2 linked regions of the Arabidopsis thaliana genome follow. The gene in region 1 interacts genetically with each later gene. Each region holds a gene or a part of one and is shown on either strand. Other genes may lie near its edges.

Region 1 (7,823 bases):
AAGAGTTTCTTGGGTTATACATTGTTGATACATTTTCAAATCTTTATAGATATTTTCCTTAGAGAAATAGGGATATTTTTACAGCAAATAGAAATATCTGATTTGCTTTGATTGTTAAACAAAAAAATGGAAAAATATATCTAAAAGTAACATTTTTGGCCAAGTATTACCATAATTTTTGCATGACTGTCTTGTCATGTTTGACTATTTGAAGTGTGCACAAACCTTTGGTTAATGGGAGTCCTGAAATTTGTATTTTCCTAAAGAAGGGCATACATTGAATCTTTGAATGTGAAGCATTTCCATGTTGTCATTTGATTAGGCCACACAGAAAAAAAAAATATCTTAACTTACAGTAAAAAAAATTTCTCCCTTTTAAATATCCCAAACATGAAAAAGTAATATCTCTACACTCTAACATAAATTTCCCAAAAATAAAAATAGAGAATCTGAGGAAAAAACTGCCGTGATGTTATCAAAATGAAAAAAGATGAATAAATCAGTAACTATATCTAGGGTAGAAAAGTAATTATTTGTGTTCAGACCATATGAATATGTTCATTCAAAAGTATAAAGCCCATCAAGTAAAAGATAACAACATAATGCGACAGTTCATTAACAAAAACATACGGCCCATCAACACTTAACAACAATCGAGATACATGGAGCCAACTCTTTCTTGGTCAAAGTCCGAATCATTCATCAAGCTGCACCAACCTTGCCAATGAGCGACTTTCGGATGTACACACATTCAATAAAACACCTTTTAAACAAGATGTAATTTTTTTCTTTGAATTCTTGTGACGACAAATGAGAACTAAAGAGCCTTGAAATAAAAAAAAATTGTGCTTTTCCGCATCATTTTTGATAATTTAAGATTCAACCCGTCCGGGTTGGTCCGTTCGTGTTTCGACCAATATTATAAGCCGATCGGATCCGTTTTTGAAAGAACACTTGTGACTTGTGAGATTAAATTTTTTGGTAAAGTGTGACTTGCGAGATGATAGTAATATGCAACAATGTCACAAAAATAAAAATAAAAGTAATATGCAACATTAAATAACCAAAATTTGACTTAGCCATTACGATACAGTTTAAATTATGCGATGGATTCTGGAGCACGATGTAAGAGATCATTGACTATAATATCATTATTGTGTAATAAAAAATTATTTTTTGCATTTTTAAAATTATAAATATTTCAACTATCTAGATTATTATAATACCACTAGATTGGAATGACATCGTATATATGGTAGAAATAAAACCGGATCCTGCGCTCCTTTCTCTCCTTATTATTGGTCGACTTCAAGGCCACGAAATCGAATATTATTAATTTACAATGACATTTCGGATATAAATTTAAATGTTTAATCTAAAAAGTATACTTTATTTGAAATAGGATAATTTCAGAAGAATCTTTAATTATAAAATCCTTATATATGTCTGTATTAGTGATTTAGCTGCTCGTTACGAATATATTAAAACAATAAATAAAATTACTTCCATAGACAAATGATTCAGGTTTAAGACGAGATTTGACGAAATCGTCTAACGATGATGGAGTATAAGTTCAAAATAAAAGTTTGTGTGGAGCTATAAGAAATATCCCCAAACAATGTAAATTGTATTCGGAATCCTAATTGTCTCAGTTTTAGTTGAAAATCTTTTTTTTTTCTGGTTAACACACTAAAAGAAGCAAATGTAGTTTCTAAGGAAGTCCATCCTAGTTAAAATCTTGAAGCCGACGGTGTAAACCCACTCGGATTGTGGAAGATGAATTTTAGGAGTCGAACAAGAGACCAGTCTGGAGAAACTTTGAGTTGCATGATATAGCTTGTTATAATTGTATTCTATGATTGAAAAAAGTACTGCTCGGTTTCTTATGATCTCATTGATGCGTGTGAAGATGAAAAAAGCTCTGTTTGATCTTCACCAAAAAGAAAAGTTATTCGATAAAGTATTCAACTAATATAAAATGACCATTCGTTGTTTGTATTATCATTCAATAAAGCAGCCTTTCTAATATTGTACTATTCTTTAATAAACCCCTTAACTTACGTTTCCAAATAGAAAGTTCTTGCATTAGTCATAAATTAACATTTCATAAACTTTTCATTATGAAATTCTTATAATTTTATAACATTATAAAATTCATGCAGTGTCTATTAATTAGCAATTTAAGACTAACATAAACTTAATCAACTCTGCCAACTGGTCAACGTAATTAAGTAGCTGCAGATCGATGATGTGTCATTTTTTCATTGGATCAGAGAACAAAATGCGTTTTACAGCTGAAAGTTTCTTTTACAAAATGCACTCATTTCATGCGGTGTCCGTTAGTGATTAACGCTGGATAAATAGATTGCTTTATTCAATTTGAAAAAGATCAAAATATAGCACATAAATAAAAAAAATTAGAATATTTGTTCCGATCATAAATTTATGCGTATACAGTATATGTGTATTTTTATAGGATTAAAGATACATATAAATTTCTTATATTTAATAGATATCGTTAAATGTTAAAGAAAATTTATCTAAAAACTAGCTAGTAAACATACAAATATATCACAAAAAATACATTCACCCCTGAACTGCCTATAAAGAATGATTGTGGATTAATTTTTGACATATATTAGGTCTAAGAAAAAAGAGAGAAAATATTGTTTTTTTTCTCTCTCAGCTTTTGTTTCCCATGCATACAGCTTTATGTTAGCGAAGAACTAGTATGATCTGGTACTCCGGTACTCCGGTACAGACGAAAGAAAGAAAGAAAAAACTTGTTTTAGTTGCCTCAATGTCAACTACTATGCTTTAATTATGATGCCAATTAACAAAAAAAAAACGAAATATTCCGAAGTAGTGTTCAGACCAGATCCATCTGGATTGCAATACAATTTGATATTATTTATATGATTGGCATTATCTTATTATATAATGCTGAGTCGTCTGGTTGAGATTATTCAAGAATAGAGACGAAGCTGGTAACATGGTGGTGGTGATTACCATTATAAACAATATTTTTAGTCTGTATATCTTCTTATTAAAATGCGAAGTCAAAGTCTGTTGGCTTTGGGTCCCTTCCTATAAAAACCTAGTTAGGCAAAAGAAAACGACAATAATTTTTTTTTTGATGTAAAGAAGAAAAACAAAAAGAGCAGATCCAGTTGATCTCAAGATCGCATCTGAATCATATAATAGCATGATCAAAGAGGAGACCGTTTCATACTTCCAAACTTTCGATGGTGTTATGGCAGAATCTGACAAGGTAAAACAAAACACTATTTCTCGATTTAACCGTTTAAACCACAAATTTCTCTAATTCTTGTTTTATTTTCAATCTCCTTCTGGTGTTTCAATCGGTTAGAATTAATCTCATGATCATATGATTCTGTTATATATTTACATATAGTTACCATATAATTCTTATGTCTGAAATTAATACAGTTTTACTGCATCTGATAAAAGTCAACTTGCTTGTTCGGAAATGGTCTCGAGTATCGAAAGTTCATTATTTTTTTTGGGACGGTTATTTAATGCTCAAGGATACCAAGATTTTCCGGTATTTAGAAAACTTCGGATGAAAACATTTATAATTAAGATCCGCTCTAATTAATATAGGTCGGATCGATCCATTTTTTTTCTTTTTTTCTTTATTGGCATTCGATCATGTTCACTTTTATAATACTATTTACTTTGTGTGTATTGAGAACTATTTATCGTAGAAGTTTAGAAGATAGGTCCAAACAGTTTTTAGATAAAAAGTGAATATAAATGTGTCTTGGATATTACAGGAAGAGGAGCTTGATGCAACAAAAGCAAAGGTGGAGAAAGTTCGGGAAGAAAATGAGAAATTAAAGCTCTTACTCTCTACGATTCTTAATAATTACAACTCTCTTCAAATGCAAGTCTCTAAAGTTCTCGGACAACAACAAGGAGCTTCGTCTATGGAGCTAGACCACATTGATCGTCAAGATGAAAATAACGACTATGATGTGGATATATCACTTAGGCTTGGAAGATCAGAGCAAAAGATCTCTAAAAAGGAGGAAAATAAGGTGGACAAGATTTCTACTAAGAACGTAGAGGAGTCAAAAGATAAAAGATCTGCACTGGGTTTTGGATTTCAGATTCAAAGCTATGAAGCCTCGAAACTAGATGATCTTTGTAGGCAGGTTAAGCTTGCAAACGCTGAAAATAAATGTGTATCTTCGAGGAAAGATGTCAAATCAGTTAGAAATGAAAACCATCAAGATGTTTTGGAGGAGCATGAACAAACAGGTTTGAAGAAAACTAGGGTTTGTGTTAAAGCATCATGTGAAGACCCATCAGTACGTACCATCAAAACCATACATTACATATATGTGTTTATTTACCATTTCACATCTAATTTAATTATTTGATCATATACACGTTACATGAATATATATAGATAAACGACGGTTGCCAGTGGAGGAAATATGGTCAAAAGACTGCGAAAACCAATCCTCTCCCACGAGCCTATTACCGTTGCTCCATGTCGTCAAATTGTCCCGTTAGAAAACAGGTATAATACATTCTATAATTTCTCAATCCAAATATCTGTTTATTAACAATTGGTTTTGAGTAAAAACTTTTAAAACGAATGTCTATAGGTGCAAAGATGTGGAGAAGAAGAAACCTCCGCTTTTATGACAACGTACGAAGGAAACCATGACCATCCTCTCCCCATGGAAGCAAGCCACATGGCAGCTGGAACTTCCGCGGCTGCCTCCTTATTACAATCTGGCTCCTCCTCTTCCTCCTCCTCCACCTCAGCGAGTCTAAGCTATTTCTTCCCTTTTCACCACTTCTCTATCTCCACCACTAACTCGCACCCGACTGTAACATTGGACCTCACACGACCAAACTATCCCAATCAGTTACCAGACGACTACCCTCTATCGTCCTCCTCTTTCAGTCTCAACTTTTCCTCTCCAGATCCTCCACCTCCATCATCGCATGACCACACCTTGAACTTTAGTGGCTTGCGAACACAAGCTCCGTTGAGTACAGATTCATTATTGGCCCGTTATCGAACGAGACTTTCCGGACAGCAATAAGCCAGTAACTGTATCGGTATAGCTAGACACAAGTCTAGAAAGTAACTGATTTCCGTTTTCTTTGTCATTCATTTGTTTTTCAGCCTCTGAAAGAGAGATCTGGTTTTGGCATGATATGCAAAATGCTTATATACTTGTAGATATCCAAATGTTTAAATTAGTGGATTACCTATCATATCATGGATTATATATGTATATGAAGGTTTTGTAAATTAATGGTCTACACAAATTTGATACACCAAATATTTTTTTATGCTTATAAAAATTTTAAATACAATGTTAATTTTTTTTGTTGGTGAATTAAGTAAGTATGACTATGATGACACAATGATATCTAAAATGGAAGGTGGTTTTCATGCAGATTGACAAAATCTCCCTCTTTCACTTTTGCAAAATTGTTTGATTTTTACAAAATAAACTTTAGTTAGCATCACATAAAATAGTGGGTTATTTGACAAATTATCAACACAACGTATTATTATTTGAAATCACATACGTATTGTTTACTAATTTGATTATTATTATTTTTTGCTACAGACATTTACTAATTTGATGGTCAAAATTGTAGTCACCATTAAAATTATTTACATAAAAGAATTGATTATTTTACTTCCCTCAATTATCAAATATAAATTTGTGATGAATTTGACCGAAATGAAGATGTCTGAATTGTTTGAGCCACCTAAATGTTTAGATGGTCGATTCTTAAAAAGGAAAGAAAACAAAATGACCAAAAGAAAGAAAACGTATGAAACTATGATCCATCAGATATTACTTTTAAATCAATCTTGGGCTCAGGCCCGTTACTACCGTTTTCTATCTTAGAATTCGGCCCATCCACGTCAGCGACTCCGGTTATAACGCTGTTAAACTCTTTTGACACACGACCACTTATTATAACGTCACGTGTCAATGCACTTCATCAGGACGCGCGTAACCGCCAGAAAAGCGAAACCAAAGGTCCATCTCCGACACGTTGCTTATCCGACCACACTCACCACTGTTCTAAATTCTCTCTTTTTTTTTTCCTTAACCAAAAAAGCTCTCTTTTTTTCTTCTGGGTTTCATCGTTTCCAATCTAAAATCATCGTAGATTTGTTTGAAATTCTTCAAATTGAGCCGGTATCAAGACATGGCGGGAAGTGAAGCGGTAGAAGATAAGGAGATAAAATCGGCGGTTTCAAGCTGTGAAGCGTATTTCGAGAAAGTACAATCAAGGAAGAATCTACCCAAATCTCTTCAAGAAACCCTAAACTCTGCTTTCGCCGGAATCCCAGTCTCCTCCTTCCCTCAAGTCCCCGGCGGCAGAGGTAAAAATTAGAAAGATCCCATTTTTTTCGATTCCTCCAAATTTCCTGATTTCTCGTTTAAAGTTTGAGACTTGGCAATGGTTTAGATTCAATTAGTGTTTTGTTTGATCGTAGTGATAGAGATTCAAGCGGAAACACCTGTATCAGAAGCAGTAAAGATCTTATCAGATAGCAAGATTCTATCAGCTCCTGTGATTAACACAGATCACGAGAGTTCTTTAGATTGGAGAGAAAGATATTTAGGAATCATTGACTACTCTTCAATCATCTTATGGGTGCTAGAGAGTGCTGAACTCGCTGCAATCGCGTTGTCCGCTACGTCAGCAACTGCTGCTGGTGTTGGTGCTGGAGCTGTTGGAGCTCTTGGTGTTGCAGCGCTCGGGATGACCGGTCCGGTTGCTGCTGCGGGGCTAGCCGCAGCTGCGGTTGGAGCCGCGGTTGCTGGTGGTGTTGCAGCTGAACGTGGGATTGGAAAAGATGCTCCAACTGCTGCTGATAAGTTGGGGAAAGATTTCTATGAAGTTATTCTTCAAGAAGAGCCTTTTAAATCAACCACTGTAAGTTTTTTAACAGAACATTAAGTTATTTGTGTTGTGATGGTCCTGATTGATCATGGATATATGTTTATGTTGTCAGGTTAGAACAATACTTAAGTCGTTTAGATGGGCTCCTTTTCTTCCGGTTTCAACAGAGAGTTCGATGTTGAGTGTTATGTTGTTACTCTCGAAATATCGGTTAAGAAATGTGCCGGTTATTAAAACAGGAGAACCGGATATCAAGAACTACGTTACTCAATCTGCAGTTGTTCATGGTCTTGAAGGTTGCAAAGGTAGAGATTGGTTTGATCACATTTCCGCTCTCCCGATTTCTGATCTCGGCCTCCCGTTTATGTCACCCAATGAGGTAATAAAATAAACTTTAAGAAGTCATGACATTAGGCTCGTAAACCGGTGAAATTGAACATGTTGGTTTCAGGTTATTAGCATTGAGAGTGAGGAACTTATCCTTGAAGCATTTAAAAGGATGAGAGACAACAACATTGGTGGTCTCCCTGTAGTTGAAGGGTTGAATAAGAAGATTGTTGGTAACATTAGCATGAGAGACATTAGATATTTGCTTTTACAACCTGAAGTCTTTTCCAATTTCAGGTTTATTTTTACTCACTTGTTTCTCATTACAACTTCTCTGGTAACAATGATGACTGAATGATCTCTTTGTTGATGATAAAGACAACTCACGGTGAAGAGTTTCGCGACAAAGATTGCTACAGCGGGAGAGGAATACGGTTTAGCGATTCCTGCAATAACTTGTAGGCCTGATTCGACTTTAGGGAGTGTTATAAACAGTTTGGCTTCGAGGTCGGTGCATCGGGTTTATGTAGCGGCTGGAGATGAGAATGAGCTTTATGGGGTTATAACACTGAGGGATG
Region 2 (9,771 bases), on another chromosome or scaffold:
TGATTCGATTTTGTACTTTTTGCTCTTCTCTTGAGTTTAAAGATGTACGAATGAATATATACAGATTCGATTTTATGTTCTGGTGGCTTTGATCGCTGAAATTTGAAAACTTTGTCTATGTTTCGATTGCTTGATACTCTTGTTTCACATGTTCATACTCTGGAATTGATTATAGATTAGTGTTTTTACAGTTTTAATGGAAACTGTTCCACCATCTCCCATTACATGGCCAGATGGGGGAGCTCTCACTAACGACTGGGTACATGGGCTTATGTCGTGTTTCGAATGGTCTTCATGGAATCTACCTCCTTCCCAGTTACCTTCACTATTGCCTGTCAACGTCTTTGATTCCCTCGTCCTCACCGCTCATAAAATCCTCCACAAAGAACGTAACTGCGTTCATATCGATGATCTTGACTCTGTATCCAACGTTGTTGTGGTTGGTGACATTCATGGTCAGCTTCATGACCTTCTTTTCCTATTGAAAGATACTGGCTTTCCTTGTCAAAACCGGTGTTATGTTTTCAACGGAGACTATGTGGATCGCGGTGCTTGGGGACTTGAAACCTTCCTTGTTCTCTTGTCCTGGAAGGTAAACTCTTTACTAAGCTGTTTTACTATTGGCTCAAGTCTTAGTATTCTTAAAGCACATATCTTTTTGGTTGTTTAGGTTTTGATGCCGGACAGAGTCTACCTACTCCGTGGTAATCATGAGTCAAAGTATTGTACATCTATGTATGGTTTCGAGAAGGAAGTGCTTACAAAATACGGAGACAAGGGAAAACATGTGTACCGGAAATGTTTGGGTTGCTTTGAAGGTCTTCCTTTGGCTTCCATAATTTCTGGACGTGTTTATACAGCACATGGAGGGCTTTTCCGCAGCCCAGTCTTGCCTAAGCGAACAACAAGGGGGAAAAAGAACCGTCGGGTAGTTCTTCTGGAACCTGAGCCGAGCTCAATGAAACTCGGTACCTTAGATGAGTTGATGCAAGCTCGAAGATCAGTTCTTGATCCTCCTTGGGAAGGTTCAAACTTGATACCAGGAGACGTTTTATGGTCTGATCCTTCAATGACTCCGGGCCTTTCACCAAATGAACAGAGAGGCATTGGTCTTCTTTGGGGTCCCGATTGTACAGAGGATTTTTTGAAGAAATATGAACTGAAGGTGACACCAAAGTAGATATTGATGCTTGTTTGCTTCCCAAATACTGATATGGATGATTGGATCAAATGTTTTACACTTATTGGTGCAGTTGATCATCAGATCACATGAAGGTCCAGATGCTAGAGAGAAGAGAACTGGTCTTGGTGGAATGGACAATGGATATACAATAGACCACAATGTCGAATCCGGAAAGCTTATCACTATTTTCAGTGCACCTGACTATCCGCAATTCCAAGTATGTATTTTTACGCCTTTGGTATTTGCATTTTCTAAAGATATGCGTTAACAATCATTTTTGTGTGTGGTGTAGGCAACAGAAGAGAGGTACAAAAACAAAGGAGCATATATTATTTTGCAGGCGCCTGATTTCTCGGATCCTCAATTTCATAGTTTCGAAGCTGTTAAACCGCGACCAAAGGTAACTAACTTACGATGCTGATAATGAACCAACGAGTTGTTTTACTTCTTTGATACACATACATAGCGACATCGGTTTTTAAATGTGCAGGCGCATCCATATTATGACTTTGAAAATGTCATTGATTCTGATGATGAGATGGATAAGTCAGCAATGGACACCAATAACGAACAACCAAATAGCTGACCGAAGCTGAAAAGGAGTATCTTGAATTGATGTTTTTTACAGTTGTTGTGATTGCTCATTATTTGCAAACATAAAATGGAATCAAATGTAAAGAAAAGAGATGAAGAAAATCATTTGTAGAATTCACATTTAAGTTATGTATGGAAGATGAAGAAATAAGAACCATCTTAAATCTCATGTAGTTCTTAGTTTCTTGGTTCCTACACGTCTTATTTAAACCTAAATCTTGTAAGATTTTGCTCTGTTTTGTCAGGTTAGCCTAAATCTTGAGAGGTCAAACTTGCAGTAACTTTCATTGTATAGAATTGCTTTTAACTGAATGATAAATCGAGTAGTAGATTAGTCCAATGGAAGTTTGTGGATCAAGTTATGTGTCTGTCGGCATTATAGTTTTCCTTTGAAATATTGACACATTACTAGAATCTTATCCAACAAAAAATTGTGTGGTTATGAAAATCCTAAGTAACGAGACAGCTTATTAAATGCCGAATTTGGTAGCAATTTGTTCAGATGAATGTATGTCTTCTTGTAAAAGACAGTATGAAGTGGAGGTTGATGCTAACTATCTTATGGTTCCTTATTGCACTTTGAAGCATTTATTGCAATTGTTTTCGGTTTTTTCTCTTGAGTGGGCTAAACTAATAATGGTCTGTTCTTTCTCTAAAGAGAGAAGAATTCGACAGGAGCGTGAAGCATCTTCATTCGCAAATATAACACATTAAAGCTACCTCTAGCATCATCTGTGTGATTCTCTCCAAGGTCATTCGTTGTCTGTCACGGGGCATCTCAAGTAATAAAGCTTAAAGTTAACTGTCTTTTCAGCCAAATAGTTTCATCATCTAAATATTCACATGATCTTCCATATTTCATCACCGATTATGGTTACAACATTTTTGCAAACCCTAAAATTTGTGTTATCGCCAAACTTGACCCTTATACCGGAACCCATGTGGGTGGGTGTTGATTTTTACTGTTTTGTAATTTGTTCATCGACAATCATTGACATGTACTCACCGCAATGTTTTTTCTTTCCTAGTTTCATGTGCATATATGTCTCTAAACAGTAATTGTTTAGCACTTCATGTCAAGCTTAAATTATTATAGGTGTCTTATCTTGTCTCTCTAGTATTTTCTGTTGAAGTCATGTGCATTAAATTGTATATAGTACTTCCAATGGCTTTCATATAATTTCCATTTTTCCACAAATTGTTCGTAATGATGTTTATTTAACAAGATTATAAAAGATAATGCAACAAATTTGTGTGATGAATGATGAGATGAACCCATTTGAAAGAGGTCGCAACAAATGTCAACATTAGAGACCATCTTGATCTAGAGTTTTGTCTCGTTGACTTTAATGCCAAAATTGGACAATACATATAATGCATGTATCAGGCAATGCAAAAATATCTTCATTCATTTAATTTTCTTACTATAATAGATGTCACAACTTCCCTCACTGACAAGCATATAATGTTGGTTTTATCTCAATGTAAACAACCTTTTAGTTTCACATAAATGTTAGGTCGAGCGAGGTGATATATTCGTTCCAGATCGGATGAAACAAGTAATTCATCGATGTTACCTTTATCCATATGTATATGTAAGATTATGGGTTTTAGGTAATCTAGTAAGTACTACTAAGTAGTATCCGTATGTAATTTTTTATTTATTTTTATCCGTTATGTATAATTTCTTTGGCCGTTTTCGCAAAATCTATATTTGGATGTTTTAGATCGTGAATTGATATATCTTAATTTGAATATTTAGGTATTCATATATTTTGAATCTATAGTTGACCTGTTGACCATGTATTTTGATTTGAATATCTCGCTCGATCGATAGAAGATTTTTTTTTGTTTTTGTTTTGTTGATAGTAGAATCTTCAAGTTGTAATTTAACAAAAAAAAAAAAAATCAAGTTGTAAGTAGACCGTATATCTGTATATTTCCATATGTAGAACCATGCATTTTGAATAATTGAATAAAATAACATGTAGCAAGACGTATCTTCATATGATAATCAGAATCATAATAAAAAGACAAACTGTACACCATATTGTAATCCAGGTTTAATTTGACCTCTTTGAAAAACTAAAATAGCTGAACTGAATATTTATAACTAAAAAGACAAATTGGATATGTCACTTTGGACTATGAAACTCAGAATTTTTTTTGACTAACGTGTATACTTTCACACGTGTGCATGACTAAAAACATATGATTAGGCTCTTACGATCTATGCGCCTTACACCTGTGAATGATGAACACATAAAACACAAGTTACGATCTAGAATGTCATGTGTACTGGCTTAAATCTACTTATGTGAAGAGGTAAATGAAATGGTCAAGAAACAAAAAAAAAAAGAAATGGTGAAATTATGAAAGTATAAAACTTTACCGGTGAGGTCCGTATTTGGATTTATTAAGTGAAGAGGGACCCTTTTGCAATTAAAGCCTGTACGACAAAAAAGAGATTTACTGTACGGTTAAAACAAAAAATAAAAAAACCAGCAAAAGTAAAAAAGTCAAAAAGCAGATATATGACATGTGCAAATCTCCATCGCGCCTTTATTACCATCTACCGCTTTCTCTCTCTGTCTTTCCTTGTTCAACCCTCGAGAGATTACGGATAGTGAAAGAGAAGCTACAAAATTTCCCAATTTATCAAAAAATAGAAATTTCTTACTTTTTTCAAAATTCATTTCTCCCCAAAAAAAATATCTTGTGAAAACTGCAACTGTGATCCATGGCGGAGGATATGGCTGCCGACGAAGTTACGGCTCCTCCTCGTAAGGTTCTTATCATCTCCGCTGGTGCTAGCCACTCCGTCGCTCTTCTCTGTACGTCTCTCTTCTTCTTCGCTGTTTTTTTTCCTTTTCTATTACGGACTCAAATAATCACCGGAATTGTGAAATCCGCTGCTTTAGTAGGCTGTGCTCTTCGCGAATTCTCTTGATCTGGCCTTTAATCGAGTTTCCCTTACTTTCGTCGTCTACTAATGAGTAGTTTTATGTTTTGATTTTGTAGCTGGTGACATTGTTTGTTCTTGGGGTCGAGGAGAGGATGGACAGTTAGGTCATGGCGATGCAGAGGATCGACCTTCTCCGACTCAGCTTAGCGCTTTAGATGGCCACCAAATTGTTTCCGTTACCTGTGGTGCTGATCACACTGTTGCTTATTCACAATCAGGCATGGAAGTCTACAGTTGGGGATGGTTTGTTTCTCATCATTATCTTCTTCTTTGCTGCTGAATCAATTGCTCTTCAGTCTGTTTGATATATTCGGGATGAGATGATGACCACTAGTTCCTCTCTAGATTTTTGTGTAGAAAACAGTAACTAATTATACACTCATTTGCACATATTTTAAGCCTCGTGTTCTCTAACCTTTATGTGTACTTTGCAGGGGTGATTTTGGGAGATTAGGCCATGGTAACTCAAGCGACTTGTTTACTCCGCTACCAATCAAAGCATTGCACGGTATTCGGATCAAGCAGATTGCTTGTGGGGATAGTCATTGTTTGGCTGTCACTATGGAAGGAGAGGTCCAGAGGTATTTTCTCTTTGTTATTGTTCTTCTCCTTATGTGCAATCATTTACAGTTTACATCTCAGCTCAATTAGATGAATTTCATCGGAATTTGATAATGTCGATTGCGTCCTGTGTCATTTCTATATATCTTGGTTATTGTGTACATTGCCTTTTAAACGTTTTGTCTGTCTTGTCTTGTTTTCCAACATATCTCTTTGACTTCTGTTTATACAGTTGGGGCCGCAACCAGAATGGTCAACTTGGTCTGGGGGACACCGAAGATTCTCTAGTGCCTCAGAAGATTCAAGCCTTTGAGGTTTGTATCACTAAATATTCTTCTAACATCTTTTTTCGTTGTAGTTTCCTCAACTTGCCAAATACTATGCTTCAGAATTGGGTCAATGTTGGGTCTATTTCTGCAACTTGATCTTCTTAAACATATGACTGTTACTAGTTAAGGGTCCACATCTGGTGAAGATGTCTTCAGAATCATAATTTAAGTTACATAATTTTAGGAGTGGTAGATACTAAATTGGATGTCTATGTGTTATACTATCTGCAAAACACAGATAGAAGGTAGGATCTTATTGATAATTTATCGGACTAGGTAAACTAGAAGATTAAGTGATTAGAGACCCTGAGTTTATGTTGTTAGTTTCGCTGATCTCCATTGTTACATCAACACTTTAAACTTGTAATGGGTGCAGGGAATACGAATCAAAATGGTTGCTGCTGGTGCAGAACACACTGCTGCAGTTACAGAAGATGGTGACCTCTATGGATGGGGCTGGGGAAGATACGGAAATTTGGGATTAGGTGACCGGACTGACCGCTTAGTTCCTGAAAGAGTTACCTCTACTGGTGTAAGCTAGAAGACTCTTGTTCTATAATTTTTGTTTAAGCACCTGCTACTTGTTTAAACTTGCATTTGAAGTTCAGTATACGTGAAAGAAATCGTGAATAGCTCAATATGCACTGCACTATTCTGGATTAGCTGTCTATATTGATGGAGTCACACGTATATGCAGTCTAATTTCAGTTGGTGGGTGTCAGGGAAGTGACCATAAAACTTTTAGAATGATCAAAGTTTGGTATCCTGAATCTGCACAGTTCATGAAATGAAATTTAGTTCATATAACATTGATATCACGCAACCTCACCTTTTTACCAACTTCTATTTCTGCATTTTAGTCCCTCAATTTTTTCCTTAATTCTCTTTTCATTTCGACTCACTTGACTCTCGTTTTCCTGGTTGTAACTACAATTTTAGGGTGAGAAAATGTCAATGGTTGCTTGTGGATGGCGGCACACAATATCAGTTTCCTACTCTGGAGCATTGTATACTTATGGATGGAGCAAATATGGACAGCTAGGACATGGAGACTTGGAGGATCACCTTATTCCTCACAAACTGGAAGCACTGAGCAACAGTTTTATCTCCCAGGTTTCACTTAGGCCTTATAAATCTGTCTTGAAATACAAATTTGTACATCTGAAATATCCAACATATGGGATAGCAATAATATGTTTTTCGAAAACTTTCTGACAACTATTACCTACTGAAGAAGACTGGCTTCATTGTATGTACTTCTGTTGGTTTTCTTCTTCTGTTCGACATCTTTTGGACTTACTGTTCGTTTCTTTTCCAGATTTCGGGAGGTTGGAGACATACAATGGCATTGACTTCAGATGGAAAACTATATGGATGGGGTTGGAATAAGGTCTAGAATGTCTTGCTTTTTTTTTTTTTTTTTCTGGCCTATATTTCGTAGAAATGTATAGAACACCTATTTTCATCTACACATTCACTGATATTTGCATTTAGTTGCTTTATGCTGTTAAGGAGTGATATGCATTCACTTAGATGTTATTTTAAGAAAACAACAATGCATATATTGGGTAACTTTAGTAACTCATCTTGAATAAAACAAACTTCTAATTGTCTCTCTTTTAGCCTGCAGTTTGGACAAGTAGGAGTCGGCAATAATTTAGATCAGTGTTCTCCTGTGCAAGTGCGATTTCCCGATGATCAGGCATGTTATCCCTAAAAAAGTTTAACGAGAAAGCTCGTCCCAATGTTTTACCGGCTATATAATCATATTAATAAGTTCATGTCTCAATTCGCTGTTTTCTTTTCCAATGCACACATATTGTGGAATTTCACAGAAAGTAGTTCAAGTCTCATGTGGATGGAGACATACCTTGGCTGTCACTGAAAGAAATAACGTGTTTGCTTGGGGTAGAGGTACAAATGGACAGCTCGGCATTGGAGAGTCGGTTGACAGGTAAAAGTGTGATCATCTAATCGCTCATGAATCAATGTTTTCCACTTAACATATCTTGGTGTTACGAACAGAATATGAAAATTGGCCAGTAAGATCGTTGTTTCCACCAAAATCATTGCTTTTCAATCCCACTCACTACCTATCTTGATAATGTGAAATGGATATTTGGTTTGGTGTTTATAGGAACTTTCCCAAGATTATAGAGGCACTCAGCGTCGATGGAGCAAGTGGACAACATATAGAATCTTCTAATATCGATCCATCTTCAGGTATTTAAACAATACCACTAGTTAAAACGATTTCTGTAAACGACTCAACAAGTGATTAAATGATTCAACTTTTGCATTGCTTTGTTACCAGGGAAAAGCTGGGTGTCGCCTGCAGAGAGATATGCAGTTGTTCCTGATGAAACGGTAAGCCTTAATTTTGTTAATTCTACTAAACTTTATATCCAATACGTAAACTACAATGAAAGCAAATGGCACAATTATATCGGCTTAGAACCAGATTTTACTGATTAATCATTGCTGCACAATTATACCTTGCTCTGTCAAGATCGTGGATTGTTTTCAAGGATGAAATCTATGTGTGTGATTTTGAATTTGGTTGTGTGTTAGGGCCTAACGGATGGTTCAAGCAAAGGTAATGGAGGTGATATCAGTGTTCCACAAACTGATGTCAAGCGTGTACGAATTTGAGCCTGAGTCAATTCCGTTTTTTTTTTACTTCCGGTTCTTCCGTTGGATTCGAAGGTTTTTCAGTGATCTCTTTTGGGTTGAGGTTTGTACTAAGAGTACGTCTGTCTAGTTTGGGATTGTACTTTTTGTTGTTGTTGTTAGTTTGTAACTTGTGATGCTTCCCTCCCCCTAGCTCTCTTATTACATGGGCGTTGTAAACTGTGTGTACTACTACTACTAGTCTCTAGGGTATGTACTTTTTTTTTCCTCACCATAATAATACCTTCTGGTTCTATATCTTTCATTTCTTAAAAAGTTTTCTGTTTTTTCCTTCAACCATTATACAACTTATGTTTTAAGAGAATTTTCTTTTTGTCTTATTTTTTTACCGCCTATGTTTGAATTCAAATATGATATGATTGATAGTGACCCGCTGAGTTTTAGAGTATTTGAATTTTGGAAAAAAAAACAATTTTATCAATCAAGATCAAAACTTAAGAAGAACAGTGATCACAGATTAACAAGTTGAACTTCTCCTTTTTTATCAAAGTGTGAAGCGCAGATGAGAACGAGAGTAGTATGGGTATTTTAGTTTACAACTTTTGGGTAGGTTAGCCTTTAGGCCCAACACACAATGCATGTTTCGTATTTCTATATATTCTAGTCTCAATACGAAGAGTCTAGAATACGAAGAATTTCTAATGGACTAAGTGATGGATATGTCAAAAAGAAAAAAAATTGATCCTTCATCATCCGCCAACCTAGTTATGCTGCCTAATATATTTGGCGTTTAGTGAAAATTTTCTATTGGGTAAAACTTATGTGGGTGATTCTCTTTAAAGCAAAACCATCCATATTGCTCTTTTAGTGTTTCTCTTTATGTGTCGGGTTTCTTTCCCTTAAATTATTCCAAATCGATGTCACTTAGATTCGATTCCATGTTATTACCTTTTTCAGTTCCAAGTCGCCATCTTTCAAACTTTCTAATGATTCTTGATGTTTCATCCACGAGTCTTTCATTCCCACCACTTTCTTGCTTTTTTAATTTCGGGTAAATATTACTCCATATATCATTTCGCCAATCTTCTTATATTCACATACACTTATTCATACATTACGATTATCTCATGGCATTACTCCGGCAATGGACTATACCTTATGTTCAAGTTGTTTTTTCTTAAAAAACCTTTTTTCATAAATCTATGTTAATCTATAATTCATTTTCTACATAAATCTATTAGTATGTTTATTGTCTTTAAATCCATATCTGGTTAACAAACTTTCAATAAACACCACATCAATTATAGATTGAGAACACATTATGTATATAAATTACGCAAGATAAAAATTATACGAAACGAAGAACTTTTACATTATTCACATTTCCCCAAATGAAATATATTAAAATTTATATCTTTTGTTTTTTTCTCCACCACCTTCTTCTTCTTCATCATCATCATGGTTTGTTTAGTAAGTAGTCTTGAACGGCTTGTAAACCTTAAGGTCTA

The links.
Region 2: of WRKY36 (region 1) and UVR8, changing one suppresses a phenotype caused by changing the other (phenotypic suppression), as found in Arabidopsis thaliana (one study listed by BioGRID).

Annotation. Positions count from the first base shown.
Region 1 is NC_003070.9:26,274,499-26,282,321, reverse strand, and holds WRKY36 (WRKY DNA-binding protein 36), read left to right. Parts: upstream 1-3,066; 5' UTR 3,067-3,205; coding exon 3,206-3,271; intron 3,272-3,450; exon of another isoform or gene 3,451-3,797; coding exon 3,798-4,334; intron 4,335-4,435; coding exon 4,436-4,549; intron 4,550-4,637; coding exon 4,638-5,084; 3' UTR 5,085-5,374; downstream 5,375-7,823. Other genes in the region: AT1G69800 (Cystathionine beta-synthase (CBS) protein), read left to right, coding at 5,997-6,044, 6,178-6,394, 6,509-6,951, 7,031-7,297, 7,370-7,542, 7,624-7,823. UniProt on the Arabidopsis thaliana protein: Transcription factor. Interacts specifically with the W box (5'-(T)TGAC[CT]-3'), a frequently occurring elicitor-responsive cis-acting element.
Region 2 is NC_003076.8:25,553,334-25,563,104, reverse strand, and holds UVR8 (Regulator of chromosome condensation (RCC1) family protein), read left to right. Parts: upstream 1-3,605; 5' UTR 3,606-3,689; intron 3,690-4,120; 5' UTR 4,121-4,517; coding exon 4,518-4,611; intron 4,612-4,798; coding exon 4,799-4,985; intron 4,986-5,176; coding exon 5,177-5,323; intron 5,324-5,535; coding exon 5,536-5,617; intron 5,618-6,008; coding exon 6,009-6,164; intron 6,165-6,571; coding exon 6,572-6,745; intron 6,746-6,950; coding exon 6,951-7,022; intron 7,023-7,262; coding exon 7,263-7,334; intron 7,335-7,467; coding exon 7,468-7,586; intron 7,587-7,769; coding exon 7,770-7,855; intron 7,856-7,946; coding exon 7,947-7,999; intron 8,000-8,203; coding exon 8,204-8,284; 3' UTR 8,285-8,689; downstream 8,690-9,771. Other genes in the region: PP7 (serine/threonine phosphatase 7), read left to right, coding at 197-592, 671-1,165, 1,254-1,400, 1,476-1,583, 1,674-1,769; AAP4 (amino acid permease 4), read right to left, coding at 9,731-9,771. UniProt on the Arabidopsis thaliana protein: UV-B specific signaling component that acts as a UV-B photoreceptor and plays a key role in establishing UV-protective responses in plants.